4 linked regions of the Alligator mississippiensis genome follow. The protein of the gene in region 1 interacts with the protein of each later gene in a pairwise test. Links are inferred from orthologs where the notes say so. Each region holds a gene or a part of one and is shown in the gene's direction. Other genes may lie near its edges. The genes, in order: HSD17B14, NEK6, CDKN2D and SNAPC3.

Region 1 (7,295 bases):
GGTGTATCCTACCCCAGAAGTGGCCGCATGCCAGGCTCCAGACAGGAAGGGTGACCCTGCCTTGTTTCTCTCTGCAGGGAGGACCCCGTATGAGCCCCAGCTTGGGGGACGCAAGCCCCACTCAGAGCCCCACCAAGAACAACTGGATGCACTGACCAATCAGCATCTCATGCTTTCTGCCACACGCATCCATGGGGAATACCAGGCCAATCATGTTGTGGCTGAGAGAGACTGCTCCCCAAATCAGCCTGCAGTGTTTCCTATCAGCACAGGGCTACAGTCAGGAGCAGCCAGTCAGGGCTCACCTCTGTCTTGGAACTCTGATTGGGCATTGCCCATTCTTGAGGCGTCCAGTCGGATATCGGCTTTGTCTGAGATGCCCAATCAGGTGTCACCATCTTGGACAGAGGCAACCAATCAAGCTTCATCCATGCCTGATACATCGCTGCCTGAACCAACCAATCAGGTGTCAGTTTCACCTGAGGTATCCAATCAGGTGTCCTCTCCTGCACCATCCAATCCTGCCACCGCAAGGGGTTATGGGGAGCAAAGGATTGTAGGAAATGAGGGTTTGGTTAATGGTGGGTATCAGGGGCAGAGTGGGGGCACCAAACCCAGCCAGGTGAGAGTGCACCTGAGCGAAGCCAGCCAGCCAATCAGAATTACACTGCTTCAGTCTAGCTTCTAGCCCATTGGCTGTGGAGTGGGGCTAAGTCCTGCCCTCAGGGTGCCCCCAGAGGAGGATGCAGTGCTGAAGTCCTAGCTGGGACTATCCCAAGTCCACTGGGGATGTAAGGGGGAGAGGGAATACAGGCTGGGGGGGGGTTTGGGGGCCTCGATATCCCCAACCAAGGGGGCTGGGGGGGAGAAGCACTCCATGTGGGATCTTGTTGCCCTCTCCCCAGTTCTGCATTGAATAAGGGCACCCTTCTGTGGTCAGACAGGGAAACACAGCCCCCTCCCCCCTGGAGCTGAGGGTCACTCTATTTGCCATGAAGAGAGGGCTACTGGGGACCCCCAAGTATTCCCCTGCTTGACTGGTGCCCCTCAACACCTTCCCTTCAGCTCTTGCCAGGCAGCCCTGCCCTTCTGGCAGTGCCCCTCACTCTTCACCTGCAGCCCCCTTCCCCTCCCCCACCGCTCTGCTGGTGTCCCTCGCTCCCAACCCACAGCTCTCTGCCATCTCAGCCCTGCCTCAATCTCCTGCTGACTGTGCTAGCCAGAGAGCTGAGATCAGCATCTAGAAGGAAGAGGAAGTTCATGGGATCCATCATCCTCCCTAGTTCCCACCCTCTGCATTTCCAGACCTGGGGCTTGGAGCCAGACAGATTTGTCCAAACATGTCTGGGGCTGTGCAAACAACCCTCACACCCCAGTTGGAGACCTGTGGGTGTGATGAAAAGGTGCGGTGGAGCATGGGGCGCTGAGGAAGCTTTTCTAATACAGGCAGCTCTTGTGGCATCTCAATGCCAGAAGGGGTGCCCTGTATAACCAACCCCCAACATGCCCCACCCCAGAGCCAAATGCACCTCAACCCTGGGTGAAAGGATTCCTGGATAAACAGCTGCCCCCTCACCCTAGAGGTACTGGGAACCCAACCCAGCCTTAGCGGGCAAATGTATTCAATAAAGTTTGCGCTGTTCAGCTCTGTGTCCTGATCTTCTTTCCCAAAGCAAATCCCCATCCAAAAAGCCCTGTATCCCAGGGGTGCTCAATTCCTGGCCCATAGGCCAAATTTGCCTGTGGAGTTGTGTCATTTGGCTGCAGGGCTCCTTAATGGGTCTGGAAGTTTGGCCAGCAGGGAGCGGTGGCTACATTAAACACGGCTCCCCTGACTAGCCCTATGTACTAGATAGGGCACATATAGTTGATTTGGATGGTGCTGGGGCCAGTCTGGGCAGCACAGGGCTGATCAGGGCAGTGTAGGACCCCAATCTTGGCATGTGGTACCCAATCCAGCTCCATGCCAGTCACCCAGCCCATAGGGCCACAAGGTAGAGCATAGAATCAGAGAAATTGGGCTGGAAGGGACCTGCACAGCCAGCTTCTGCCAACTGCCTCCTCCTCCATGCTGTCCCCTGCTGGGGTTGGAGTAGGGGAGCGCTTCCTCTTACATTACTCCCCACAGAGCCCCACCTCAGGAGAGACCAGACCTGTGTATCATAGAATTGTAGAGAAGCAGGGCTGGAAGGGACCTCTGGAGGTCCTCTAGTCCAATCCCCGCCTGATCCAAGCCATCCTATGCAAATCCACAGTCTAACCTATTCATAAAACTACTTCTTTTTAATGGAAAATTTTTCATGTTCTAAGCCAAATCAATTCCAAATCCGTGAATCATTCAAGAACTATATATGGCCCTACTACCAGCAAACATCCTTTACCCCAACCTGGGGCTTCAGATGTTTCAAAATCATTTGGCAGGTGTCCTACATGCAGGCCCAAGCCCAGAGGCTTGGGGATTTGTATATCCCCAGGTTTGCTTGCCCTCAGCCATATGGCTGCAGGAGCAAACTGAGGAGGAGTCTCCCTACCATAAGCCAAGATCTTCCCACTGGAAATGTAAGTGGGAGGGTAACTATATTACCTCTACCCAGGTACTACCCCTCTCCATGGGAAAACCACCGTGGTGATCATGGTACTTCCTCTGTCAGAACTACTGTCAGCCATGACCAAAACAAGACATCACACCCAAACTTGCTGCAGGTAAAGAAGGACTGCAGCAGCCAACATCTTGCTGCTGTAAAGGGTTAATATATGCTCTCCTCAGGAAAAGGGACAGACCTCCTGCTACAGCAGAAGGCAACAACCCCCATAGTCCTCACCAATCTGACCATGGGGTAAAATTCCTTCCTGACCTCAAATACAGCAGTCGGTCTGACCCTGAGTGGAGGGACAAGACCCTCTAGCCAGAAGCCCCTGGCTTTAAGATCCAGCAGGAGCACTGGCACAGCCCAATCCCAATCCCCAGCCTTGGCTTCAGCGAACACACAGTGCCTCTGAGGAAGGCTTTTTAAAAACACCTAGACACCCATAGCAGAAAGGTGGGAGCAACCAGCAAAGCCCGGGAAACCCCCAGAGCAGAACACAGGCAGAGCTACACCTAGATCATTCCTGACCAGTGCCTGTCCAACCTCTCCTTGAGCCCCTCCAGTGATGGAGAGCATACAGCTCCTCTAGGCAGTCTAGTCCACAGCCTCACTGCTCTAGCAGTAAAGAGGTTTTTCCTGATATCCAATTGAAACCTAAGTCTCCTGCTCTCTGAGTCCAATTCCATGCCCCTATAAGAACCAGCCCAGCAATCAAGGGGTTCACCCCCCTCCCCATACCCCAGACCAATTGCATTCCTCCCACTCCCTTTGCTACAAGCAGGTCAGTGTAGCAACAAAATGCACCACCATGGGGTGAAAGCGCTAGTTTTGGTTCCAGCAGGAGTATTCATAGATTCATAGATGTTAGGGTCGGAAGGGACCTCAATAGATCATCGAGTCCAACCCCCTGCATAGGCAGGAAAGAGTGCTGGGTTTAGATGACCCCAGCTAGATGCCTATCTAACCTCCTCTTGAAGACCCCCAGGGTAGGGGAGAGCACCACCTCCCTTGGGAGCCCATTCCAGACTTTGGCCACTCTAACTGTGAAGTTCTTCCTAATGTCTAGTCTAAATCTGCTCTCTGCTAGCTTATGGCCATTATTTCTTGTAACCCCCAGGGGCGCCTTGGTGAGTAAAGCCTCACCAATTCCCTTCTGTGCCCCCATGATGAACTTGACACAACCCAATTGGCACAACCCAATCCCAATCCCCAAGCAGCCAACACCCAATGCCTTGAAGGGAGGCTTAAAAACACCTTGACACGTGCAGCAGAAAGGTGGGGAAGGGGGCAATCAGTAAAGCCCAGAAGCCTGGGAAACCCCATAGCAAAACACAGGCAACCAGCACCACTGCTGCCCCCCACTTCCTGGGAATTACATGTGTAAGGACCCCAGTGGTGCAGGGACAGATTAACCCTTTAGTGGACCCTAGGGAAACCAGCTGAAGATAAAATTTGTATATTCCTTTTTTTCACTCAATAATTATAATAGGTAAAATAAGCACAATTGGGTCTCTTCTTCACTTAGGGCCCTAGGCATGTACCTAGTTTGCCTATGTGTTAATCTGGCCCTGCAGTGGTGACCCTTGGTAGGGGATGCCCTATTCCAATCCCCCCACAATCAAGAGACTATATTTCCCAGGGTGCATCTGTCTCCCCTCTTCCTTTATAACTCCTGCCCAGGGGGAACACGTGATCCCGGATCAGCTGGGGCTGGGCTGGCCTGGCCATGGCTTCGGGGCTGCGCTACCCAGGCAAGGTTGCCCTTGTGACGGGAGGCACGAGGGGCATCGGGGAAGCCATCGTCAGGGAGTTTGGTAAGGGGGGACAGAGGTCTCTGTGTGCTGGGGCTGGGATGGGTAGAGCAGGAACTGGAGTGCAGTGGGTTTGGGGGTGAGTGGGACTGGGGGTTATTGGGTGTGGGGTGGCTGGGGGAGCTGGGATCAGGGTGCACTGGGTCTGAGGGGATGGGATGGGGCAGGGCAGGGACTGGGTACAGTGGGCTTGGGGATGAGTGGGACTGGGGGTATTAGGTGTGGGGGCTGAAGGGAGCTGAAGTCAGGGCTATTGCAGGGACTCTGTGGGAAAGCCGGGGAGGTGGGGGTCAAGGAGCAGGGAGTCCTTGGGGTGATGCGGAGGGGGGCTCTGGGCTGGGGCAGGGGCCTAGTGAGTTGTGGGGCTGGGATTGTGGGGGTCAAGGGGTGGCATGGGGGAGCAGGGAGGACGGGGCTGCCATGTCTGACCATGGAGGGGTTGGGGGCTGAGGCATGGGGTGGCAGATATAGTGGGGGATCTGCAAGGCTGGGATTGGGGCCTGGGTGGGGAGAGGACTTTGAGGCAGGGCCAAGGCTTGGACCCAGCTGGACTTTGTCTGTCCCGAGACTGTTCATCCAGCAGGTCACTGACTTGGAGGGGGGAAGAGGCCAGAGATATGAGTGTGGTGGGGGGGTAAAGCCTACAATGTACCCCACCTCTGTCCCCTGCCTTTGTTACCCAGCCCTGGGTTTGGCCTGCCCCTGTGCCCTCCACCACTAACAGCTCCTGTCAGGGGGGACCCTGATGCCCACCCCAGCTTTCTGTCATGGGGCTGAGCTGGTGGTGAAGAGGCTGTGTTAGCCCATCCCCCCCTCACCCCCCAGCACCAAATCTTGGCCCTTCCATTTCTATGAGACATGTATAGTGCAGGGAGCTGGTCAGTAGGGGGCAGCAGAGACCCATCCCTGCCTGGGGGGATGTGGAGGGTAGGCTAGGAGGAAGCTTGTAGCACTGAAGCAGGGGGGGGGGGGGGGATGTTGCCTCTGCCTGCACTGTAGGAGGAAGCGTGTAGCACCAGCCAATCTCACACTAACCTTGTCCTCTTACTTTGTCCCCTTGCAACTCCACAACTCCCCCCTCCACCCACACAGTCCATCAGGGAGCTCATGTGGTCTTCTGTGCCCCAAAAGCTGAAGGTGAACCTCCCCACCCCACCTCCTGTCCTTATCTCCCCTTCCCCGTGGGGCTCAGGTGGAGGGAGGCTTCCCCTTGCATCCCAGGGCTGGGGTGATTGGGACTGGGGACAGGGTCCTACACTTCTGGCCCCCAGATCTGTCCCTGCCTGGTATTTATGGATGCCCCCTTCCCCTTGGGATCTCCCATTCCCCCCAGTATCTAATGCTACCTCCTCCCCAGCTGTTTCTCCCCACCCCTCTTCCCTTTTCACTTGCAGAGGAGGTGGGGGAGGCACTGGAGCAGGCACTAAAGGAGTCGGGTGGCCCCGGGAAGCCGTTCTTCTGGCCCTGTGATGTCACCAGTGAACAGGATATCCAGGTGGGTTGGGCTTGGGGAGGAGTGGGGGAGAGGTCTTTAAAGAGAAAGCAATAGGGGTCTCAAGCCCCCCTGCTCATCATACAGCACCTCAAGATGGTAGGCACTTGAGGCTGGGTCTGATAAGGCCTGTCCCTCCCAATCTGCCCTGAACCCCAAAAATCCCTACTGTCCTCCCCTGATTCCCTATACCCCTGGCTCTCTCCCTCTGACCCCTGCTCCTTGCTCCCCTCTTCCAGGCCCTGGTATCCACAACCCTGCAGCGCTTTGGGCACCTGGACTGTCTTGTGAACAATGCCGGGCAGCGTGAGTCACCCTGATAGTGCCAGGGGATCTTTGGAGGGACCCTGACGGGGTAGGGGGGCGGATGCTGTATTAGGGAGCTCCTCCTGCTGGGAGGGGTGTTGCACATTAGCAGGATCCCCAGGGGCCAGGGGGGTATAGCAGAGTAGACGTGCTGCTCCTCCCAGGTAGTTGGCTTTAAACTTTTGGTGGAACAGGAATCAAAAGGGGGTGCAAGTCCACCAGGGCACCCCTTGGATCTGCCTCAAAGGAGTTATTGTAGGCTGGTAAAGACCAGAGCATTTAGTTGTGACTGTAGGAGTGGAGAGGAGGCTGTGGCAGCAGGGTCCCTGGGACACGTGGGTTCAAGAGGGCAGGGGCTGGGGCTGTGGCCAGGACTCAGGCAGTCATGGGCAGATCTAGGACTTTGAAAAGGGATTGCAGATGGTATGGCACATCACATGAAACACAACACATCTTTTTTCCAGTTAGAGCAAAACTAGCAGCTTTACTAATATGCTAGGGGGCTAGCACTTTATTATTCAGTCTGAGATCAAGCACAAATATCACTATTGGAATACACACAGATTTGCTAAATTCTATCTAAAGTTTAAAAAAAAAAAAAAAGCACAACACATTGGCAAAAAATAGTCAAAATAGTCCAAAGACATTGTGTCATGAATCCTGTAATCACTAGAGCTGAATGTATGTCTTATTCAGATTGATAAAACAAAATCTAGCCTTCTTGAGTGTCTTGACGGTGCCTCCAATACCTGGCTGTGAGTCATGTCTTTACCTGAGTTATTATGACCACACCTGAGTTAAGGGGTTTAGTTAAAGCTAAAAAAGAGTCTATAGGAATGTGAAAGAGAAGAAAGATGTCACTGGGAATAGCAAACATGAGCAAACCTGCAGGAAAAAGGCTAGTTTGAATGGTGGAACATCAGGACCATTAAAAAGGATGGAAGGTTCTTAACATTTGTAGAGTGTGGAGATTAGCAGGAATCATGGAGATGACAATGAACCATGAAGTCAGTTGATTCCCTCAGTGCTGCCTGAATAGAAATGCTGCTGCACCTCCCAGATGGGTGGTTTTGAAGTTTGGGTGGAGCAGGAATCAAA
Region 2 (6,941 bases), on another chromosome or scaffold:
TCTTCAACCCGCCTTTCCACTACGAGCTAATGCGACCAGCACAACAAGCAGCTGGAGGTGAAACGGCCCCTTTCCTGCCTCCAGCGGTTGTACCCATGCCTTGCAGGTTGAATCTCCTGCAGCTTCTGCTGAGGGGAAGGCGCCTTTCCCCTTTCACCCGCTGCTCGATGAAAGAATGAGGAAATTCCATGAGCAGGAGCTCACAGTTTCCAGCCCTGCTGGGCAGAGGACAACGGGGCCCTTAGTATTATTAATTTTCCCTCCTAGGTTTTTTTCTGAGCAAAAGAAAATGGTTGAATACGAGCTTTTTCTTTACGTCGCTTCATCCTTTAAAGTCCTTTAGAGTTAACAAAGTGGAGGCAAAAAACACAAAACCTTCTGTGTCTGTATGAAAAATCCTTCTGTTCTTTACCCCAAACACTTTCCCAAACCTAGCATCTTTTCTGAAAAAGAAAACTTCTTTTAAGCAACAAAACCTTTTCTCCATCATACTTTCCCATCTCCCCTTTCCTGGATGGCAATCGCATACTCCAGATCCCATGCTGTGAAGGATATTCTGCCACTGGTCACATCTGGTTCCCTGATGAGATCCACAGGCAGCTGGGCTGGAGTTGTTTTCTGGGGCACGTGACCTGTCTAGGTTGCATTATCTTCCCGAACACCAATTCTTTCTGAATCCCCTTTTTGATTCCAATTTTTTTCTTTCTTTGCATCACTTTTATCAGTTTTGCGACTAAACTGTTGCACGAATGTTCATGAGAACAACTCGCAGATCTTAATATGGTAAAAATAATAGAGGTGTTTCTCTAGGCAAGCTGGTGGAGATTTTCTGTACTGAGTTTTCGACTAGTTGCATACTGGTATGCATTCCTTTAGCATTAATTCTTCCTTTGGGATTCGAACCTTACAGAAATATGAGAACGGAGCATGCATGTAGCAGACATAGTATGGAAGTAGCTTGCATGTACTGTATGTATGTGGAGAAGACGTGCTGCAGCTTTATAACTGGAGAGGAAAATTCACAGCCTTTCTTCTTTGGCTACTGCTGACAAAAGTCTCTTTCAGCTCATTCTGTTTTTTATTTGGTAGGGGGGATTTTTTTTTATTGAAAACAACTTCTTGCAGGAAGTAGATACAGTGCACAATGACCAGAAAACTAACCAACGAGGCAGGATGCATGTATTGATATACTTGGTGAAATCCTGCCTTATTTAAACCTGTAGAGCCAAGATGTTATCAATCATGGACTATCTGATATGACTGTGATCATACTGACCCTATAAAGACTGTAAATTAAGACCCAGATCATAAAATCATTGCTCTAAAAAATTAAACCAGTTAAGTGAAGCCAACAGCAGTCTGATGGCTCTTAATGGCAATAACTTCATTAGAAGGGATGCTGAAATATAAATAAACATATATAAATACACATCTATCTATCTATCTATCTATCTATCTATCTATCTATCTATCTATCTATCTATCTATCTATCTATCTATCTATCTATCTATCTATCTAATTTGATTTGGAGTTATGCAGTCTAATCCTACAATCCTTGGACAGTTGCAAGTGGCTCCGTGTTTGTTAATGCAATGTTTTTAGCACGGCCATGCGGAGCCAGGGGTGCAAGATGAATTCATGATTTTACAAGAAGCTTCCAGGAGAAATTGTCCTTTGAATTTTTCCTCTCTGATTTTTCCAGGAAGGAATTTCCCGTGGAATAATAATGCACCATGTCAGGCTAAATTCATCTCCATCACGATGTAATTCAGGAAATTTAATTTTTTTCTTTCCTTATTGAATTCTGCTAACTCGAAGTACGGGTAGAGCTGTATGGTCTGTGTAATCGAGCAGTGAAAAGCCCGGGTCTGGTAGCTGTGCGCAGGAGCCCAGCACACGTTTAAAGACATCTCGCCTAGGAGGTATTGACGGAGGATGGCAGAACAAACCTCTCGTGCTCCTCTTGGCGCTGTACGCTCACGACATCCTCGTGCCTCAACTCTAGAGAGCGTTATCTTTCAGAGAAAGGAGGTGGGGAAGTCTACAGCTCCCGGGATGCCTGAGATGTAGAGGGAAAAAAATGACTTAATGTTGTTTATCGAAGCCCTACCCGGTGTTGCAGATTTGGTACTGATGGATTGACGATACGATCTGCTTCAAAACCAGGTGGCCTCTTCGTTTCCATCTGTTATGTCTACTGCTCTGTCTCTAGCGAGAAGCATGGCATAGCTGCGCAGGCATCTGCACCCATGAGAGAAAATGCCTCGCATTATCACAGTAATGCAAGGAGGTACAGCTTATACTCGCGCAGCGTCTCGAGTGCTAATACACAGGAGAGACTCGCGTGCCGGACAGACGATGTCTGCACGTACCCACGCCGCCTGCACCGCTGACCTCACACGACAAAATCGAACAACAAAGCCCAAAGCCAGCCAGGGCAGGGCGTTTCAGGAGTTTCTCGTGGATGAAACTGCGTTCAATTCACGTGGAGCTCAGACTCATTCCAGACGTCTCCTTGGTTTGGCAACAAAAAAAAAAAGCGTGCCTGAAACGAGGAGGTTTGTAGGATGAACTCAGTCATTTAATCCAGCGCTTGCCGCAGTTTCTCAGGTTCCTGCGAAACAAACTTATTTCGAAGCTGAAACCACGCGAGCTTGAGCCTGCTGGAAAAACAGGGCGCTGCGACCCGAAACGTCTCAGGTGATCGGGGGTTCCACGCAGCTCTCGTGGACACGCCGCGCCGGCGGAGAGGGGACGCGTATCTGAACAGCGCGGGACGCCGAGCGGCCTTCGCCGAAGGGGCCGTGCGTCCGGGCACCGTCCACCTCTCTGTGTGACACCGATCGCTGCTGCGCGCTACTTCACCCTTCCCACGCGGCTATCGCGCCGTTCCCCACGTTGCTGCGTCATCCGGACCTCGCACAGGCGGCTGCCTGCATTTATGGCGCGATTCCCCCGTTCACAACCTGGCGGCTACTTCGCGGGGGCGGCCCGTCAACATTTATTGCACATCCCCCCCCATGTTGCTGAGTGATCCGGACCTCGCACAGGCGGCTGCCTGCGTTTATGGCGCGATTCCCCCATTCACTGCCCGGCGGCTAGTTCGCAGGGGCGGCCCGTCAACATTTATTGCACATCCCCCTCATTTCTGTGCGATCCAGACTTTGCACAGGCGGCTGCCTGCATTTATGGCGCGATTCCCCCATTCACAGCCTGGCAGCTACTTTGCAGGGGCAACCCATCAACATTTATTGCGTGCCTCCCCATTTCTGTATGATCCTGACGTTGCACAAGCAGCCTGCCTGCATTTATAGCGCGATTCCCCCATTCACAGCCTGGCGGTTACTCCGCAAGGGCAACCCGTCAACATTTATTGCGTGGCCCCCCCATTTCCACGTGATAAACACTGTGCGGGGGTGGCCGGTCTCCATTTATTGCGCATCCCTCCTTCTGCACGAGCACCACTTTGCACAGGCGGCGGGTGTACATTTATTGGGCGATCCCCCGGGTCATTATACGATCACCACTTTGCATGGGGCCGGGTCTACATTTATCGCGCCATTGTTGCGTGACCCGGCCTTGGCACAGGCCGCTCGTCGACGTTTATGGCGCGATTCCCCCGCTCACGGCCGGGCGGCTCCTTCGCAGGGGCGGCCCGCCAACATTTATTGCGCCTCCGCGAGCCCAGAGCATTTATGGCGCCCCGTGTGGTAACCCCCCTCCCCGCCATGCAGGTGACGGCCGCATGCCTCCCCCGAGCCGCGCCAAGCCGCGCCAAGCCGCGGGCGGTGGGCGGGGCGAGTGCGCGGAGCCCCGCCCCCGGCCCCGCCCCCCGGCGCGGCGCGGCGCGGCGCGGTGCAGCGCGCGCGCTCCCGGCGCAGGCCTGCGTGGCGGCTGCGGCGGCGCGCCGGCGGGGGCGGGGCTGGCGCTCGCGCTCGCGCCGCCGGGGGCCGGGCCGGGCCGGGCGCGGGGGCGCGCGCAGGCGGCGGGAGGCGGCGCGGGCGCTCGGCAGGTAACGGGGGCGCGCGGGAGGGGGGGGTTGGCACCGACCTGCCCCGGGGGGCACGGCGGGGGGGGAGCCCCCCACCCCACCCCACCCCACCCCACTCCGCTGGCGGTCGTGGGGAAGGAGCCGCGTGCCGTCCCCGCCGCGTCGCGTCGCGTCGCGCCGTCCTTCCTGTCACGAGCGCGGCCGGGCTGCGCCGAGGGGGCTCGGGGGACCCCCGCTGCTGAAAATTACCTCAGGTTCCTCCGTGGTTCTGGGGCCGTGGGGACGGGGGCGGCTTGGACGTGGACACGCGACGTGGACGCGCGGCTCTCCACTCTTTCTGCGGCGTGCCGGAGTCCGGGGCGCTTCCGGAAAGCTCGACGGTAGCAACCGAACGGAGCGATCCCGCCGTCGCGGCGGGGCAGCGCAACGTACCGCCGGTCGTGTTTGCGCGCTGAACGGCGCCGATGCCGCGTGGCCGCCCGTGGCACCCTCGCAAGGACGGGGCTGGGCCCGGCGACCCGCCACGCTGCGGCACCCTGGGGTGCTGCCGCAGGCGTCACGGGCGTAGGTACGTGGCCGACTGGGACCGGAGCGGTGCGGACGTGCAAAAGAAACGCTTGCACACTCACCTTGCGCCTGGACCCGAGGGTCTCGCGAGGTTCCCTCCAGCCCGAAATCTGTGACGCGACACCGGAGGCTAAAATTGCCCGTGAAAGGTTGAGACCTACCGAAAAGTGAAAACGAAACCCTTGACGGGGTCTTTTCATTTAGCCTTTCTGTTGGCAGGTAGTGCCGGCGGATGATAATACTTTATCCAGTAGGTTTCATCAGGAGATCTTCATGTAGTTTTTGAAGCAGCATTGCCTTAATTTGCAGATTAAAAAACCCTGGAGGAAGGACCCATCTCGGACCAGGCCGTGCAGGGAACGGAAGTCAATGTTTGATCTTCTCGTTCATACGAGTTCTAGGATAAGTTTTCGGAGGCCCCTTCGCGGTCACGTTGCAGTCCCTTGTTATAAAAATGAGAATTGGATTTTAATTTCTCAAACTTTATACATGTGTCTCGTAGCTGTTGTCTTGAGAAGCCGCTAGCTTTCAAGAAATGCTCAACCTGTGAAAGCAGCACGGTGCCGCTCGGACACAGATACCGCGTGCCGCTCGGACACAGATACCGCGTGCCGCTCGGGCAAACGTTGGCAGAGTTTTGGAAAGTTTTTGTGAGTTAGCTCTTGGGGGCTCGTGTGACATCAAGATAATGCACAGAGGAGTAAGCACAAGGGTATGGTTAGGTTGGACATCAGCAAGGACTAACTAACGTGCCAGGCAGTAATCGGTGAAATGGTTGAGCAGAGGAAGTTGTGGGGTTCAGACCTGGGCTGGACAAAATGATACAGGATCCTTTTTTGGGGGCAGTCGCCTGTTGGCTTGAGGCATGGGTTGGCGGTGATCGAACAGGTGCGGCCCATTATTAACTTGTAGGATGCAGGTTGGATTGACCTCTCTCTCAGGGAGAAAGAAGCGTAAAAGGAAACCGATTAGAGGATGGAGGAGCTGCGATGCGTGACGTGGAGAGTTGCTGGTGGTCAGGAAGGTCCAGGTCCGCGCTGTTCTCTTGCACGCGTCTTGTCCGAGGCGGGATTGCAATCGAGGTCCGCACCTTGCAACCGGTGATCTATATTACAAAGGGAGTAAACCCCTGAAACTCCCAGTTTACAAGCATCTTAAATAAATCTTAACTTTTTAAAGCATAAGTAGCCAGGCAGAAAGCTGCTGTCTTACTTCTGCTCATAACGCGGGGCACAGGCAGTAGAGTTCCTGTTTGAATGCAGGATAAACCAGGCAGCTTGAAACGTTTGTAAGCTTTATTAAAACAAAACAAATCAAAACAAATAACCACCCTGAGGTTTTTTTAAGTGGTTCAAATATAGCGGTTTGTATAGATACCAGTTTTTTTTATGTGGTTGATCTGCTTTTTTTTTCTGTCTTGGCTTAAATTTTACATATGAATTGTTTTGGATTGGATTGAGATTACTTTACTTTAAAGTCTAACCTGTGCTGAGTAGTTAAACATCTGGCCCTACTGTAAGTGCCGCAGTTTCACATGCCTGAGAAATCTCTGGGGTTAAGTTGTGGTTTTCGAATACCATTTTGAAGGTGTCAGAAATAAACTATTTTACATTTTTTTCAAGGTAAAGATCAACCATTTAATTTCTAGGAACAGGCAACATTTAAGAACGTCCTAATTGTATAGAGGGGGCTATGATATCACATTGCAAAACTATGTTAGAAATTGTATTTTGTGAAATAGGGCAGATGGTTTTCAAAAAACTTTTTTTTTTTTTTAAGCATAATGTTTACTTTAGTTTGGTGCTACTTTAAGTGTCTGGTAGCTTCATAGATTCCAGCTAGTGAGCAGCTGTCTGTCACAGATGGGAGAGGAACAAAATCCCCTTTGCTGCTTGCTTCCAAATAGGTTTTCATGCAAAACCAACAGTAATGTAACAAAAGCATCTCAGTTGGTTTCAATTTTTTTATGCATGTAGGTGAGGCAGGCAGGCGGGCAACACACCATGTTTGTTCAAAGGAAACTAGTGCTAACCAAAAGAAAAGAACCCACCCCATTTCTCTGGAGAGCTGCTATTATTTTCATGAACCTTAATGTCTCTACAAATTCTGTTTTTTAAAGAGCAGCCTGTAATACTTCACGTAAATTTGTCGAATTGCATCTGAGCGAGATTTAGAAATCAAGAAGAATCAATTGGTATTGATTTTTGACACGTTGCTCAGAGTGGCTCAGAAGAAGTCGTCGTCCTCACCCAGAATGCACCTCATGTTCCTGCCACGGTGGTGTGGACTGCATGTGTTTGTTTTCCCCTCCATCATTTTGCAGTGCTTCTTCAAGTATTTCTTCCTATTTAGCTGTATTTTGTCAAAATAAGAGGATCCGCT
Region 3 (7,116 bases), on another chromosome or scaffold:
GACAGGAGAGGGTCCTGTGGGGGATGAACAGAGCTGGGGGGAGGGGTAGAGGGGACACCCTGCCCTGGCCCAATCCATTGCTCTGCTCCCTGCCCTATACCCCTTGTCCCATTGGCTGCTCTACTTTCTGCTTCCTACTCCATCTACTGCTTTGCTTTCTGCTCCATGCCCTGCACTCCCTGCCCCATCAGCTGTTCTGATTTTCCATTCCCTGCCCTGTGACCCCTGCCTGATCTATTGCTTTTCTTCCCACTCCTTGCCCCATCCGCTGCTCTGCTTCTTGCCCTGTGCAGGTGTTAGGGCCGACTGCAACCTCCCCTCCCCTCCCCCCCGCCACAGTTCCCCCAGATGCCCCCCCAGCTCATAGCTACACTCCCCCCACCCAGGTCCAGGTGGCAAGAACAAATCGGTAGAGCTGGAAGATGTGAAGTTCCACCAGTGCGTGCGGCTCTCGCGCTTTGACGCCGACCGCACCATCTCCTTCGTGCCCCCTGATGGCGACTTTGAACTCATGTCCTATCGCCTCAACACCCAGGTTGTGGGGGGCAGGGAGTGGACACTGGGGTTCTCTCCCCAGTGCTGGTGCAGGAGGGGTTGAAGCGGGGTAGGGGTTGGAAGCCTGGACACCTGGGTTCTCTTCCCCACCCTGGGTGGAGAGTTGGAGCCAAGGGGTTAGGAGCCTGGATGGCTGGAGTCTGGAAGGTTGTGTGGGGTTGGGAGCCCGGACACCTGGGTTTTGTCAGCTGTGAGAGGGAAGTACCTTTGTCAGAAGGTATTGGGAACCTGGATGCCTGGGTTCTCTCCATGTCTGGGAGGGGAATAGAGGCTGGAGGGTTAGAGCAGTAGAAGGTTGGAGCCTGGGTGCCTGGATTCCCTGTCCCTTCCTGTGTGACCTTCTCTCCCAGCTCCTGTGTGTGTCGGGAGTGGATGGGGGGGGGGGGGAGAGGGGGGCTGTTGTGACTCCCACATTTCCCCTTCTTCCCTCCCGGCAGGTGAAGCCCCTGATCTGGATTGAGTCAGTCATCGAGAAGTTCTCCCACAGTCGTGTGGAGATCATGGTCAAGGTGAGTCAAGGGACGCCTTGCCTTGTATTAGGAACCTCTTGTATTAATTCCTTGAGGCAATGACCCCAGCAGGTGGCCTGGGGCTGAGTCTGGTTGGAAGGGGGCAGGAAGAGTCCCTCGACCTGGTTGGGCAGGGAATGTGCCCCTTGACCTTTGCTTTCTGACCCTGGGCAGGCCAAGGGTCAGTTCAAGAAGCAGTCAGTGGCCAACGGGGTGGAGATCACAGTGCCCGTGCCCAGTGATGTCGACTCGCCCAAGTTTAAGGCCAGCATGGGTAGCGCCAAGTATGTGCCCGAGAGGAACGTTGTGCTCTGGAGCATCAAGTCCTTTCCGGTGAGGCAGGCCAGCTTCCTGGGTTCCCTCCCTCCTCTGGAAAGAGAGGGGAGGCAGCTGGGGGGCTGGATGCCTGGGTTCACTCCCTGCTCAGTGTGGGGGAGAGGGACTAGGAGCATGCACACCTAGGTTCTCCCTACTCCAGGTGGGGAGTAGGGGGCTGCGGGTGGGTCTCCAAGTCAGAACTCCTGGGTTCTCTCCCTGCTGGGGGAGGGGAATGGGAGCTGGGAGCTTGGATGCCTGGGTTCTCTCCCAGCTAAAGGAATGGGGTGGGGTGTGTGGGAGGTGGGGTAAGTGCACAGGGATTGGGGTCCTGGATGCCTGGGTTCTTTTTGCTGTGGGAGGGGAGAGGGGGCTGGCAGAGTGAGGGGACTGGGACCTCCTCTCCCAGATGGGAGGAGAACCCAGGTATGTATGAGAGCAGGCACTTGGATGCCTGGGTTCCCTCTGACACTTGGCAAGGGTGGACCCTGTGACCTCTCCCCGCCCTGTGCCGGCAGGGTGGGAAGGAGTACCTGCTGCGCGCGCACTTTGGGCTGCCCAGTGTGGAGCGGGAGGAGGATGAGGGCCGCCCGCCCATCGCTGTGCGCTTCGAGATCCCCTATTTCACCGTCTCAGGCATCCAGGTGGGCCAGGGGTGGGGCTGGGGTCCCAGGAAGGCCATGGTCCACACCCTGACCCAGGAATGGGAGGGTGTCCCTGGACCATAACCTATGGCACTTTCCCTGTGGTGACTAGGGGGATAGGGTCCGTGGACATCCCTCCCTCCCTCCTCAGCCAGCCTGCAGTCTCCCTGATGCAGAGATCCTGGGAGGGAGAAGACTGGGGTGGGGGTCTGGGGTCATTGGGGGGGGTGTTGGGAGTGTGGGGGCATTTTGGGTGGGGGGCATTGTCAGGCTGGAGAATATCCCTTCTCTGCAGAGTTGTGGTCAGACTGGTGCTCTGGCATGTGCCTCAACTTCCCTGCTCTCAAACATTTGGGGGGGGGGGAGGGGGAGAGCAGCCTGTATCCCCAGCAGCTGCAGGACTGGATTAGTGCCCTTCCACCTCCTCCCCCCCAGCCTGGGGCAGTCCCCCCAATACTAACCTCCCCCCCAGGTTCGTTACATGAAGATCATTGAGAAGAGTGGGTACCAGGCTCTGCCCTGGGTGCGCTACATCACCCAGAGTGGGGGTGAGTCATGGGGTCCCTAGGCCTCTACCCCCCCCAACTGTAGTAGGGGGTTCCTGGCATGTGTGAGGGGCATGTGGGGACTTTCAGCACATCCCCCCCAGCCTTAGTGGGGGGCATGTATCTATGTATGGGGCACACCTAAGGTGTGGGGGGCACCTGTGTATGTGATGTTCTCTATGGGAGAGGTCTCTCAGGGTGGGAGGGCTGCAACCCTGGGGGGGGGGGTGTGTGTGTGTGTGTGTGTGTGTGTGTGTGTGTGTGTGTGTGTGTGTCCCCACAGCTGCCTGCAGTCCCTCTTACTCCCCTACTCTACTCCCACCTCCCAGACTACCAGCTCCGGACCAGCTGAACGCCACCACCCAGTGGTGGAGGACCCTGCTGCCTCCAAGGCCTGAGTCTAGCACTCCCCTCTCTGCCCAGCTACCCCCAGGGGAGAACCCCCCCCATATGTTGCCCTGCCTTATCTGCTGGTTTATAAACAGAATGTGACTGTTTCCCTGTGTTCTGTGGGTCTTTTGGGTGGATTGGGGGCAATAGGGGGGCTGGGTTTGTCCCCCCCCAAAGTCTTGCATCTCAGGCTAAGTCCTGCTCCAGGGGTGGGGGGTTGAATGGCCCCAGTGGCTACCAGGCCTGGGATGGAGTGGGGGTGTCCCCCAGCAGTGAAGAGCTGCCTCCCCACTCTACCTCTGGGGCCTTGGCTTGGCAGCTGCAGCTTGGGGGTCTCCATCTTAGTTCCCCCCATGCCCCCCTCCTCAAGGCTACTGTGGGGGGTGGAGCCAGGGCTGGGGCTCATCTAGGTAGGGGGAGAGGGCAGTGCATGCCTGTTCCTGCACCTGTGGGCGGGTGCTCCTTTTGCCCATGCCCCATGTAGCCAGGCACCATTGCTTCTAGAGGGAATGTGAGGCAGCCACCTAAACTGGAGCAAAGTGTGTGCCTGCAGCTAGAGCAAAGCTGTGGGGGTGAGTCTCCATGGAGGGAGGTTGTGAGGTTGGGGTCTTCTGGTTTGGGGGGGGGGTCACTATTGGCAGGGGCATTCTCCTCCAGCCTGTTGCAGTCTGTCCCTAGGGGCCAGAAGCTAGCATCTGCCTCCCTTTGGGGGGGGGGGGGGAAGGGGGAGAATCATGGCCTTTGTCACTCCTCCCTGTGTGAATGGGTGGGGGGGGGCAGCTATTGGAGCCTCTGAACTGGCAGGGTGTCCCACTGTCACAGTTTATGGAGTTCATTGGAATAGGGGAGGAATCGTAACCCATAAAGTGTGGGTGGGGTAGGGTCTCAGCCCTGGGAGTCAGTGAAGTGGGGAGGAGTCCCGCCCCAGGGGGCTGGGGTGTACCCCTATGGGAGGGGGTTGAGGGTGTCAGCGGGGTGGAGGGTCTGCCAGGGGGCAGAGAACCTGTGTCGGAGTGGGGGGGGGGCACTACATGGAGCAAGGGGACCCCAGACCTAGGGGCTGCTTGGGGGGATCCATCCCAGAGAGGCCGTGGGGCGAGTCCCGGGTGGGGGTGTGTGTGTGTGGGGGTTCAGCTCCGGGACCCCCGTGGGGAGGGGCTACGGGGTTCCGTAGGGAACGACCCCCGTAGGAGCTCGCGGTCCGTGTGGCGGGTCCCGCGCGGGGACCCGGCATCCCCCGTAGCTTCTCTTCCCCCGCTGGGGTCACGGCAGGTCGCGGGGGTCGTGGCCTCGGGGGCCGCCTGCCCCTTCCCGCCTGAAGCAGCGTTTGAATCGGCGCGGTCCGCCCCCTGCCGCCCGCCCAGCGCCAGCCAATCAGCAGCCCGCGGGCGCCACCAGCCTGCCCGGAGCCGCGCGCTGATTGGGCGGAGCGGCTCCGACTGGGCGGGGCGAGGGGGCGGGGGCGTGGTTAGAACGCGGCAATATAGCTACAATGTAGCCGCTCGGGGGCTGGACAGACACACCCCGGCGCCGCCACGTGGGCGGAGTCCGCCCAGCCCCTGCCCCGCCCCGCCCCGCCCTGGATCGGGCCCGGATCGGGACCCCCACGGCGCAGCCGAGCCCGGTGCCCCCCGCCCGGGGCCGCAGCCGCCAGCGGACTACAGGTGCCCGCGGGGAGAGGAGGGGAAGGGAAGCGGAGATCTATCTGGGCCAGGGGTCCCTGGCCGGTGCAGCGGGGACCCGCTGACCTGTCAACGCGGTGTCCGTGCCCGCCTCAGGTCCTACCTAGCCCGGCCCGGCCCGGCTCGGCTCTGCGATGCTGTTGGGGGACGAGCTGAGCGGTGGGGACCGGCTGAGCAGCGCGGCGGCCCGCGGGGATCTGGCCGAGGTGCGGCGGCTGCTGCGGGACGAGCTGGTGCATCCCGACGCGCTCAACCGCTTCGGCAGGACAGCGCTGCAGGTGGGGACTAGGGTGGGCGCACCCCGGAGAGGGCCCAGCCCCTGGGAGGGATATCGGGGGTCCTCGGCCTTGTCCCCGTGGGGTCCCTGCTGCCCTATGTGGGGGTGGGTTGAGGATAGGAGGCTGGTTCCTGGGGGGTGAAGGGGATGAGGGTAGGATCTGGGGGGTGGAGGGAGGAGCCTCAGTGCCCACTTGTTACCCATGCTTCCCCTGGGTGGTGGTGCTGATGGGCACCCAGCAGTGGCGGGGGTGGGGGGAGGCAGGTAGGACTGGTGTTGTGGGGGGCAAGGGCCCAGGTCCTTCTCCTTCACCCAGCTCGCTTTCTAGGTGATGATGATGGGCAGCATGGCGGTGGCACAGGAGCTGCTGAAGCAGGGGGCCAGTGCCAACGTGCAGGACGCAGGGGGGCGGGCACCGGCCCACGACGCAGCACGGGGGGGCTTCGCGGACACACTGCGGGTGCTGCTGGAGCATGGCGCCGATGCCAACGCACCAGATGGCACCGGGGCCCTGCCACTGCATGTGGCTGTGGCTGAGGGCCACGCACCTGCTGTGGCTGTCCTGGCACCCGTCTCCGACCTGGGCCGCCGTGATGCCCACGGCCGCACCCCCCTCAACCTCGCCCAGCACCTCGGCCGGCCTGGCATTGTTGCCATCCTGGAGCAGCACTGCCCGGGCCCTGCCTGAGCCTTGGTGGGGGTGGGGTGCTGGGTCCCTGGCCTGGGAGGGGGTGCTGGCATGGAGCTGGCTCTTGCCAGCTGCCCCCCCATTCCCTCTCTTGCCCCTGTTCCCTGTCCTGTCCCCCTGTGAAGGTCCTCCCCATTTCCTCTCTTGTCCCCTCTGACCCTTTCCCCACTGCCTACCTCAGAGTTTAACTTTTACTGTTGTTTCTATTTATATTTTTTGGGGTGTTTCCCCCTCTCCCACTGGAGCTCTCCAATGGGGGTTCCGCCTGCCCCCCCATAGCAGGGTGGGGGGTCTGGCCTGGTTGCCTTGGCCCCAAACTCAGGTTTCAATCTGGTTTCTACCCAGAAAAATCTGATAGCCCCTGCTACCCCCAATCTGCTTTTCCCTCAACAGGTGGAGGAGGGGGTCTGTCTATGTTGTAGAGCCCCCCAACCTCCTCCATCAGCTACATCCACCCCCATAGAGTATTGTATTGGTCTGGGCTGGTTTGGATTGAATGGGGAAGGGGGTGAAGGGATCAGTCTGATGGGGAGGCTTCGGTCTCAGGGTCAGGTGCTTGGTGCTGGGGAAGAACACCTGCCCCCCCCCCCCCCCCGCCGCGCCAGTCTGGGAGCTGGGCAGTTCATAGCTCCCCCACCAGCTGCAGGTACCTCCAGGCCCACTGGGGGTGGCCCAGATGCCATGTAGCCTCCCAGACTCTCCACCCCAGGGAGCCCTGCTATGGGCTGGAGCTCGGAGGGTGGGGGGAGCATCACAGAGCTCGGGCCCTGATATTGGGGCCCTAATTCTCCTACCATAGCCTGTCTGTGCCCACCCCCCACCATCTGTGCCATGGTCTGTTACCTGGCTGCATGCCTCAGCTGGGGGGGAGGGGGGTGCTTTCTATTTGGGGGAAGTGGGGTGTGTTGGATGGATTGGTGCTTTTAATGAGCTCAAAGCCGCTTCTATTTATTGGGCGCCGGGATAATTTAACGATTTTAACCATTAAATTAATATTTGCCAATGGTGACTGCTCTGCTCTTGGCCAAGGGTCCCTGTGCCCCCTTCTCTCCACCCCATTCCACTGGGTGGGGGTCTTTGTGTTCCCTTTAATCACCCTAACCCCACACCCAGCAACTCTGGGCAGGAGATGCCCCCCACCAGCTGGCATGAGGGCAGCAGAGCTGGACACAGAACCCAGGAGTCCAGGGTTCCCCCTGGAGTTCTGCCCCTATTAAGCCACATTTATAAGCCCCTTGCCTAGGATGCCCCCAAAGAGCCTCTGCCCAGCCTCCGTCACCTCCCCATCACTGTGTGGTGCAGCTGGGGAAACTGAGGCACAGCAGGGGCTAAGTGATATGCCCTGGGACACAGGGCAGTAGCCTCAACCTCTGCTCAGCTGCTTGCAGCTTCCGGCCCCTCTCCCAGCTAGGTGCCCCACCCACTCCGGGCACCGACATACTCCCCCCCGTCGGACGTCACGCTGGGCACTGAACCTAGGAGTCCGGGCTCACCTCTACCCACTAGGCCAG
Region 4 (7,804 bases), on another chromosome or scaffold:
GGATTTTCCTTGAGTAGAAGTGTTTTTACATGTTCAACTCTGTAAGAGTAAAGGTGGGAAATTAAACACAAAAACACACAACCCACTCATGGTTTAACACTCTGTGTTTTGATATTTTGCAACTGTTGCTTCATCAGCTGGAACCCCAACCTGCCTGAAGGTGAGGATTATAAAGTAATTTATTTTCCACTGTATTCTTTGCAACTACGAAACTCAATGAGAAAACATTTTGGAGATCAGGAGAACTCTTAATATATCCTTGGCTGCAATAACCCTCATGAGACCATTCCAGCAGCCAAGAATAATTGGAGCACAAGCTCCAACAACAAACCTCTTTTCTGTCCACACTCCCCAGGAACACAGTTTTTTTGTGATAGCTCTAATGCTATCTGGGGAACAATGAGGATCTCCCTGCTGGAATTTTCCTTTGGCCAGTCCACAAAGTTTCATACAACTCATAGGCTAGGGACAAAAGTTACATATAAACTGGTCACACATAAAGTGCTCTAAGTCATCAGAAACTGGTTTAAACCTGTAACAGAACAGAAGTTCAGTGCACATGAACCAGTTTCAAAATGGCTGAAACTGGTTTAAGATAAACCTCGTTGAATGTAGTAGTATCAGACTTAACTGATTTGGGCCAAACCAGTTTATGAAACTTCTGTCCCAGACCCCTTCCTGGCTCAAGTTAAATCAGAGTCCCACAACATCCCAGCATGCTTTCCAGCATGAATGCCACATGCCCCTGGAGGCTGAGGGGACACGACAACTGCCCGCAGGTGGCGCTGGCAGTATTGGCGACGGGGGTGTGGTGGTGGCGATCGGAGAGCTCCCGCAGGCAGCCATAGCAGTGTTGGCAGTCTGAGTGGGGAGCTCCTGCAGGTGGCCATGGCAGTGTCAGCAGCAGGGGGGGAGAGGGGCAAACGCCGACCACCCATAGGTGCTGCCAGCACCATTGGCTCATTGGCAGGAAACGAGCTGGTGCTGAGCATGGGGGAAAAGCAGCCCCTTCCCCACCCCATGGCCAGTGCCCCATGCTGCAGCCACTGGCAGCCCGCATGGGGCTGTCCTGAGCAGACACAGACAGCCTCACGTGGGCTGCGAGTGGCTGCAGCATGGGACGCTGGTGGGACCGTTTTTCCCTGCACTCAGCACCAGCTTGTAACCTGCTGTCGCTGCCAGCCTTGGCCCCACACTGACTCTGTGCTCGCCCATTGAGGCTGTGCCACAGCAGCAGCAGCCTGCTTGGCGTGGAGGAAAGCGACCCCCCTGTTTGCCATGCTGGGCACTGTTTGCTGCCCACCTGGAGCTCGTGCTGCACCCTCAACAGCTTTCCAAAACTGGGTAAGCGGCCCTCCACCCGAAATAATTGCCTGCCCCTGCTCTATAGCTCCTTGGCTTCTGGCCCCACTGCAGACATGTGGCTGCATTTCCTGAATCAAAGGTAAAATGTGTGTCCAGTTGTTTCTCAGTTTAATCTTTGCAGCTTAGGCTAACCTGCAAAGACTGGACTGATTCAGCCTTAGGCTTTTTGACTGTCTGTACTTAGCCTTTGTGTTGGATCTTTTAGAAATGAACTTCAAAACCAAACTCTTTTTGCTCCACATGGACATTAATGATCCCAAAGGAACTTTTTGCAAGATTTGGGATATAGCCCCTGCACCATTGGCCAAAATTCTTCTTTCCTGCTTTTTATGCCAAATGTTGTTTGTTTACTATACTAGAGTTTTTTATGCCAGAGGCAGCTAAATTTCAAAAGTGAAGTGTTTCCAGTATCTTTATAATGATTTATGCAATGGCACTATTACACAATAGAAAATGAGAGATCACAACAGAAAAAGGACTTACCTCAAAGTGAGGTTGTGACAAACAAAGGGTTGGGTCTGGATTTTGAAACTGGAATGCATGCTTCTTGGAACAGCTGGAAGGTTTTAACAGCAGGTGAGAGAGACAACCTGTAATCAGGAACCTCTTCCAAACCTGAACTACTCCATAAAGCACAAATGCAAGGATGGGCAATGGGAACAATGGGAGTGGCTGAAAAAAAACACATAATGAGCCATAATCACAGCCAGGAGTACAAGGGAAAGGAAGAATAGACACAGGCAGGAATGGAATACTTCAGTAGTGAGGATGAACAGCTTTTAATTTGAGAATAGGAGAATAGAAGACTGCGAAGGAATACAGCCCTAAAATACATTTTATGAGATGCTTTATTCTTTTCCTACCCATTAGCCACTTCATCCTGCCAAAGCTGCAGGAAACCTTTCACTAGGTAATCTTATTCACACCCCACTCCTTTCACATAGCAGCCAGACCTGGACCTTTCTAAAGGCCTGTCATTCCTACTTTTGTCATGGAAGTGCTAATAGTGGTGCTGTAAACCATTCTAGTGGGGCCCTGGAGGAAACCTACTCCAAGGCAGGTTATTCTCTAGTTGTCCTTCCTCTGTAAGATTTGTGTCACTAGGATTGTAGGGTAAGAAGAATAGGAATTAGATTGTTAGTGGATAGATTAATTGCTCAGTAACTTGTTAGTGCATCCTATGACCTCATCAATTCCTTTTTGTTTACACAATGTCATACTTTGTAATACTAGGCAGATCAAAAATAGTGAAATTGGTTGCTTTTTTCAGCTATGCAAAAGTATTATTCTACGAATAAAAATACAAAAAATTCTGAATAAATTGGGTTTTTTCATGAACCTTTCTTAGAAGTATTTTCATGACGGTTAAACTTTTGCAATTGTCAGAAAATTTTTGTCTGAGAATGATCTCCTCTGAAGTCACCTGTGAATCAGCACAATACAGTCCGAAGGGCCCAAACCTGCGATTTGAGCTTTACCACAGGACCTGTACCCTCGCGCAGCCAGCTGGGGTTCTGCAGGGACAGAGGGTCTGCCCATGTAGCTTAGAGAGCAGTATAAGGATTTTACACAGTACTGCACAGGCTCCTACAGGTCCAAAAAGCTGGCAGCAGATACCCATGGGGAACCCTGCAGACCAGATAATGAAATTATGCCCCTGCATCCTGGCTGCTCGGGATCACGCCTGCAGCTAAACCCCGCACAAGATCTGACCCACTGACCCACCCAGCCACTCACCTGGCCCACAGGGTGGGTCTGTGAAGAGGGTTCAGCAGAGGCCTGCGCTGGGGCTGCAGGAGCCTGGATCTACACCAAACAAGCCTCCCAATAGGGCCACAAAAGGAAGGCACCAGTTGTGGAAGGTACTTCCCCAAGGCCTAGAAGCTCCTGTGTGCTCCGGCCGGATGACAGACCCGCTGCAAAAACCCCTGGAGCAACATGGTGCTGCCCATCCAGCAGAGGCTGGTCCCGCTCCACTGTCCCACCCAGCATCAGCTCCGGGGACAAGCACCCTGCTCACCTCCTGTATTGTTAGAGACTTTTCCTGCCTGCCTTCCCCCAATTGCCAGGGGGCCCTGTTAATCCACCTCTGCTGTGGGTCACCATCCTAAATGGAGTCACAACATCAGTGGATGGGATCATGGGGGTGGGTGCTGTGGGTTGGGAGTGAGGGGCCATGCTGAGGAAATGGGGCCCTAAATAGGATCATGCTGAGAAACAGCTTGGGAAGCTCTGCCCTAGCCAAAAGGCTGCAGGAATGAACTAGAGGGAAAGAAAGCCTGCGAGCAGTCCTCTGGCACCATGAACTGCATGGCCGCAATCCTGGCACCTGGAGGCATTTAGAGACACTGGGCGCGTCTACATGAGACGCTTACTGTGGTGAGCATGTTTGTTATTACCCTGAAATAGAATAGTTTTCTGATAGCATATTGTTAGGTTAACAATAATTTGGATTATTAAGAAGTATTAGCTTTGCAGCTGAATACAAGGCATGATCTGTGGCCTAGCAATGCAGCTGACCACAAGGCAGAATGATAGCTAAGCCTTTGCTTGTGTCAAGTAATCATTTTAACTGTATTAAGCATTTTCTGAGTTAAAAAGTGGATCTGTGTCTGTGTGTTGAAAAATCAGCTACAGCAAGAAATAAGATAAGACAGGGAAGCCATTGTTCTGGGTGCAGTGGTTGTGTCCTTGAGAAGTATCTACTACTGTGTAAGGTTTTGCTAACATATTATAATGTTACTGTTACTTAACTTTTAGCTTTTAAAAGTGCTAGTTCAGCTTAATAGAAATATGCTGTTATAAAGATTTATAAAGCACTGCCCAAGTATTGCTTTTTGTTAACCATATAGTCTTGCCTTGTTGTAATAAGTATAAAAGATCGCCTCACCCTTGAGGGGGGGCCATTTTGCCTTTTGCTGGCTTTATGGTCTTTGCTCGAGCAAATAAACAGCTGTCTTTCTTTACCCGCGTTGTCTGTCAATCAAATTACAGCTAGACAACGGACCTTAGGGAGGTTTCTCCCACCACATACTGCACATTAACCTAATCACACCGCACAGTGCCGTAGCACGGCACAAACCAAGCTGATAGCCTCCTGCACCATGTGATGAGGCCAACACGTAGTGTCACTAAATAACGTGTGCTCATGTGCAGTAACTCTAAGCACCCTGCATTTAGTTAGTGCACGTACTTTATTAAGCACCTACTCAACCAAAGACGCAGTCAGGCTGTAAGGCGCATAAACGAATGTGTAGGGGTCAGCCCGCCGCAGGGCCGAGGCCGGCCCTTCCCCACAGAACCGCACGCCGGTGAGCTCAGGGCGGGAGCACAGGCGGAGACGTCACCAGGCCCCACCAGCCTCCCCTGCTCCTGCTCTTGGGCAGAGCCCAGTTAGGGATAAACGGAGCGCGGGGGGCCGGCAGCGCCGCCTCGGGGCGGGCTCAGGGACGCGGGTCCCAGTGCGCCCCGCGCGGCGCCATGGCAGGGCCCGGGCCGGAGTACGAGACGCCGGAGTTGTGCACGCGCGTGTTCCCTGTGGGCGCCGTGGGGGCGCTGTGGCGGGAGCGGCTGCCCGCGGCGGACCTGTCCCTGGCACAGCGGAACGTGGTGGAGGCAGAGGCGGCGGTGGCCGCCGAGCTGGGCTGCCCGCTGGACACGGCGGCCGAGCTTCGCGCAGTGTGCAGGTACCCGGGCGGGGGCCGCCAGCAGCCGGGACTGCGCTGGGGTGGGGAGGAGGGGCGCGTGCACGAGTGTATGAATAGCGGCATATGTGTGGGTGCGTGCTTGAGTGTGCGCATGCGCGCATACGTACGTATGCATGCATCTGCGTGCGTGTGCGCATGTGCGTATGTCTATGTGCATGCACATGTGCATGTGTGTGCGCACCTGTGTGTTCACATGTACATACGTGTGTGCTCTGTGCACGTGCATCTGTGCATGTGAAGTGATATGTGAAACTGCCATATTTACTCAAATCCAACATGAGGTTCACCCCCATCCATCAAGCTTTGGCGGGGAGAGAGTTTTCTTGGATTTGAGCACCAGGCTGGGGCAGGCAGCTGCTGTGGCTCTAGCTCCAGCCCTGGACTTCTTGCCCCAGGCCAAGGCCAGGCCACTGCCCCTGCCACCTGCCTGGGACTGAGGCTGGAGCTGTCACTGCTTCCTGACCACTGTCTGCCTGAGGCTGGAGCTGTTGCTACTGCTGCTGCCTAGCGGGGGTCAGGGCTGGAGCTCCTGCCACTGCCTGACTGGGTCAGGGGTAGAGCTACTGTACACTCCGTGTCCCAGGTCAGACCCAGAACCAGGGCCCCTCTATAGGGTAAGTAGTAGCAGCAGAGGCAAGTGGGAGAGGGGGCAGGTGGCAGGGAACAGGTACTGGAAGGGAAGGCAGGGGTCAAGCTGTTTGTCTTCCCCACTGCTTACCCCACTGCTGCTGTGTTTCATGCTGCAGCAGTGGGAGGGGGGTGAAAAATTAGATTCTGTACATGGAAATTTATAATAAATTTACAACTTTCCTTGTGTGGAATCTAATTGTTGTGGGGGGTTGCTCCTAAATTTAAATTTGTCTTGGATTTGTATGAATTCAGTATGTCCTGTATGGGGACGTCCCCATGAGCGATCCCTACTTGGGATCCTGGGGGCCTCCCAGGACTCTAGTGGCAGTGATCCAAGTGTGTGGAGTCTGGCTGGCAGCATGGCTCTGGCCAGACAGGCTCCGGTTTTGGGTGGCGCATGTTACTGCCACATGTGCCGCCCCGCTTTTTTCTGGCATGGATTTTTTTTTTGACACAGGGATCTCCTGGCGTCGAAAAAATTAGCTGTGTTGCAAATTAGCAGTGTGCCAAATGTCTACATGTGCGGTGTGTGCAGTTTGCAGTGCCACGGATGGGTCTGAAGCACCACAAACCACATGTGTGCTTATCTGGACATGCTCTGTGTGTGTGTTGGGGGTGGGTGGAAGAAAGTAGAGCAATCATTTAAAAACCTGGTTATGTTTTAGGCTTCTATGTCTATCAAATCTGTAAGATGTAGCAAATTTTTCTGTATTCAGTTTGCACTCACCTTGTTTGAATGTGAGGACCACCTCTTTCATTTACCAAGCATATTGATCAGGTAGTATTCAAAATAGTTTTGTAGACTCAGAGCCATCCCTAGCATACGGTGAATTGGGGCGACTGCCCTAGGCCCCATGGAGCCAGGCAGAGTGGCTGCAGCCCCTCCTGTGGGTCCTGCCTGGAGCTGGCAGCTCAGTCCCGTGCTGCGCCCTCCCCCACTCACTGCTGTACCACTCATGTTCCCCCTCTCCCCTGCACCACTGCACCGCATGGTTTCATGGCCCCAGACTCGCTGTCCACTCTCCATGCTGTGTGCTTGTTTGCCTTGCCCCCTGGGGCAGGGACAACAGTTGGAGGAGGAAGGGGGAGCCCAGAAACTCTGGCTGCTATTGCAGGGTGATTGGGGGAGTGGTGGCAGAGCAGGAGCCCAGGGGCTGCAACTAAATCACTTGCAGGGCTGCCAGTTGGTTTGTAAATGTCTGCAAGATTTTGTTAAATAAGTGTCAAGGGTCTTGATATAGTAGTGTAGCATATGCATGCATCAAAGGTGATGAAATACTGCAACTAAACCTTTGAGGGTGGAGGAGATGATGACAGTGGGCAGTGTACTATTTTTAATTATAAGGAATAAATCCAGATAAAAATACTAAAACATAACTTCAAAACTTAAAAAGCAACGTGGGCCACCATAGTTATGGAAGGCCATTGAAGGACAAAGTGGCTAGATGCCTTTCTGCTTCTCTTTTTCCCAGAACCACAGGTCCGAATCTGTTGAAGTTTGAGTCAACTTTTTATCTCTGTTTGTACAACTTGGTGCCGTACTACCTTTCCAGGGGAGACTAATTAAATACCACGTACCTCACGGCACGTATCTTTCAAGCAAGACCTTTTCACTGTTTTGTTCTTCATTGATGTTGCAAGGCTCATAGCGTTCTTCATAAAACAGTTTGGCTTGTTTCCTTGGCCAGAATTTTCTCTTCCCTCACCATCAGTACGTTTTGAATTTGGCCCTCGTCCTCCCATTTTTGAGGTTCTGGCATGACTGCTTTGCAAGAAGGTGTGTTTTACTCAGTATCAGTATAGAACACCCATGTTTTTCATGAATGGCGTAATCCTGAGTTAATTCAGCCATTCATGCTAAATAAGTGTATGTAGTTCCATACACTGCATCATGCATTGTATACACGGCACAAGATAAACAAAAGAAGCTGTTTTAAAGAATGATTGATTCTTTTATAATTTTATAAACAAAAACAGAATCATACAAAAGTAGTGTTGGAAGGGACCTCAGGAGGTCATCTAGTTCAACCTCCTGCTCAGAGCAGAACCAGCCCCAACTAGATCATCCCAGCCAAAGCTTTGTCTAGCCAGGTTTTGAAACC

The links.
Region 2: the proteins of HSD17B14 (region 1) and NEK6 interact in binary tests that used the Homo sapiens proteins (3 or more experiments, as listed by UniProt). The two-hybrid records come from large-scale screens. The link is inferred for Alligator mississippiensis from reciprocal best matches to the Homo sapiens genes HSD17B14 and NEK6.
Region 3: the proteins of HSD17B14 (region 1) and CDKN2D interact in binary tests that used the Homo sapiens proteins (3 or more experiments, as listed by UniProt). The two-hybrid records come from large-scale screens. The link is inferred for Alligator mississippiensis from reciprocal best matches to the Homo sapiens genes HSD17B14 and CDKN2D.
Region 4: the proteins of HSD17B14 (region 1) and SNAPC3 interact in binary tests that used the Homo sapiens proteins (3 or more experiments, as listed by UniProt). The two-hybrid records come from large-scale screens. The link is inferred for Alligator mississippiensis from reciprocal best matches to the Homo sapiens genes HSD17B14 and SNAPC3.

The regions. Positions count from the first base shown.
Region 1 is NC_081828.1:39,479,499-39,486,793, reverse strand, and holds the start of HSD17B14 (17-beta-hydroxysteroid dehydrogenase 14), read left to right. Parts: upstream 1-4,275; 5' UTR 4,276-4,314; coding exon 4,315-4,402; intron 4,403-5,491; coding exon 5,492-5,536; intron 5,537-5,756; coding exon of another isoform or gene 5,757-5,793; coding exon 5,794-5,894; intron 5,895-6,130; coding exon 6,131-6,197; intron 6,198-7,295. Other genes in the region: PLEKHA4 (pleckstrin homology domain-containing family A member 4), read left to right, coding at 78-688. UniProt on the Homo sapiens protein: Catalyzes the NAD(+)-dependent oxidation of L-fucose, yielding L-fucono-1,5-lactone, which rapidly converts spontaneously to L-fucone-1,4-lactone. Can also act on D-arabinose and L-galactose, with lower catalytic efficiency. Does not use NADPH.
Region 2 is NC_081835.1:65,889,521-65,896,461, forward strand, and holds the start of NEK6 (serine/threonine-protein kinase Nek6), read left to right. Parts: upstream 1-3,922; 5' UTR 3,923-4,013; intron 4,014-6,941. UniProt on the Homo sapiens protein: Protein kinase which plays an important role in mitotic cell cycle progression. Required for chromosome segregation at metaphase-anaphase transition, robust mitotic spindle formation and cytokinesis.
Region 3 is NC_081831.1:23,793,961-23,801,076, forward strand, and holds CDKN2D (cyclin-dependent kinase 4 inhibitor D), read left to right. Parts: upstream 1-4,454; 5' UTR 4,455-4,622; intron 4,623-4,631; exon of another isoform or gene 4,632-4,736; 5' UTR 4,737-4,774; coding exon 4,775-4,918; intron 4,919-5,245; coding exon 5,246-5,605; 3' UTR 5,606-6,608; downstream 6,609-7,116. Other genes in the region: AP1M2 (AP-1 complex subunit mu-2), read left to right, coding at 387-535, 993-1,064, 1,239-1,397, 1,898-2,023, 2,496-2,571, 2,898-2,920. UniProt on the Homo sapiens protein: Interacts strongly with CDK4 and CDK6 and inhibits them.
Region 4 is NC_081826.1:181,600,694-181,608,497, reverse strand, and holds the start of SNAPC3 (snRNA-activating protein complex subunit 3), read left to right. Parts: upstream 1-4,795; 5' UTR 4,796-4,845; coding exon 4,846-5,051; intron 5,052-7,804.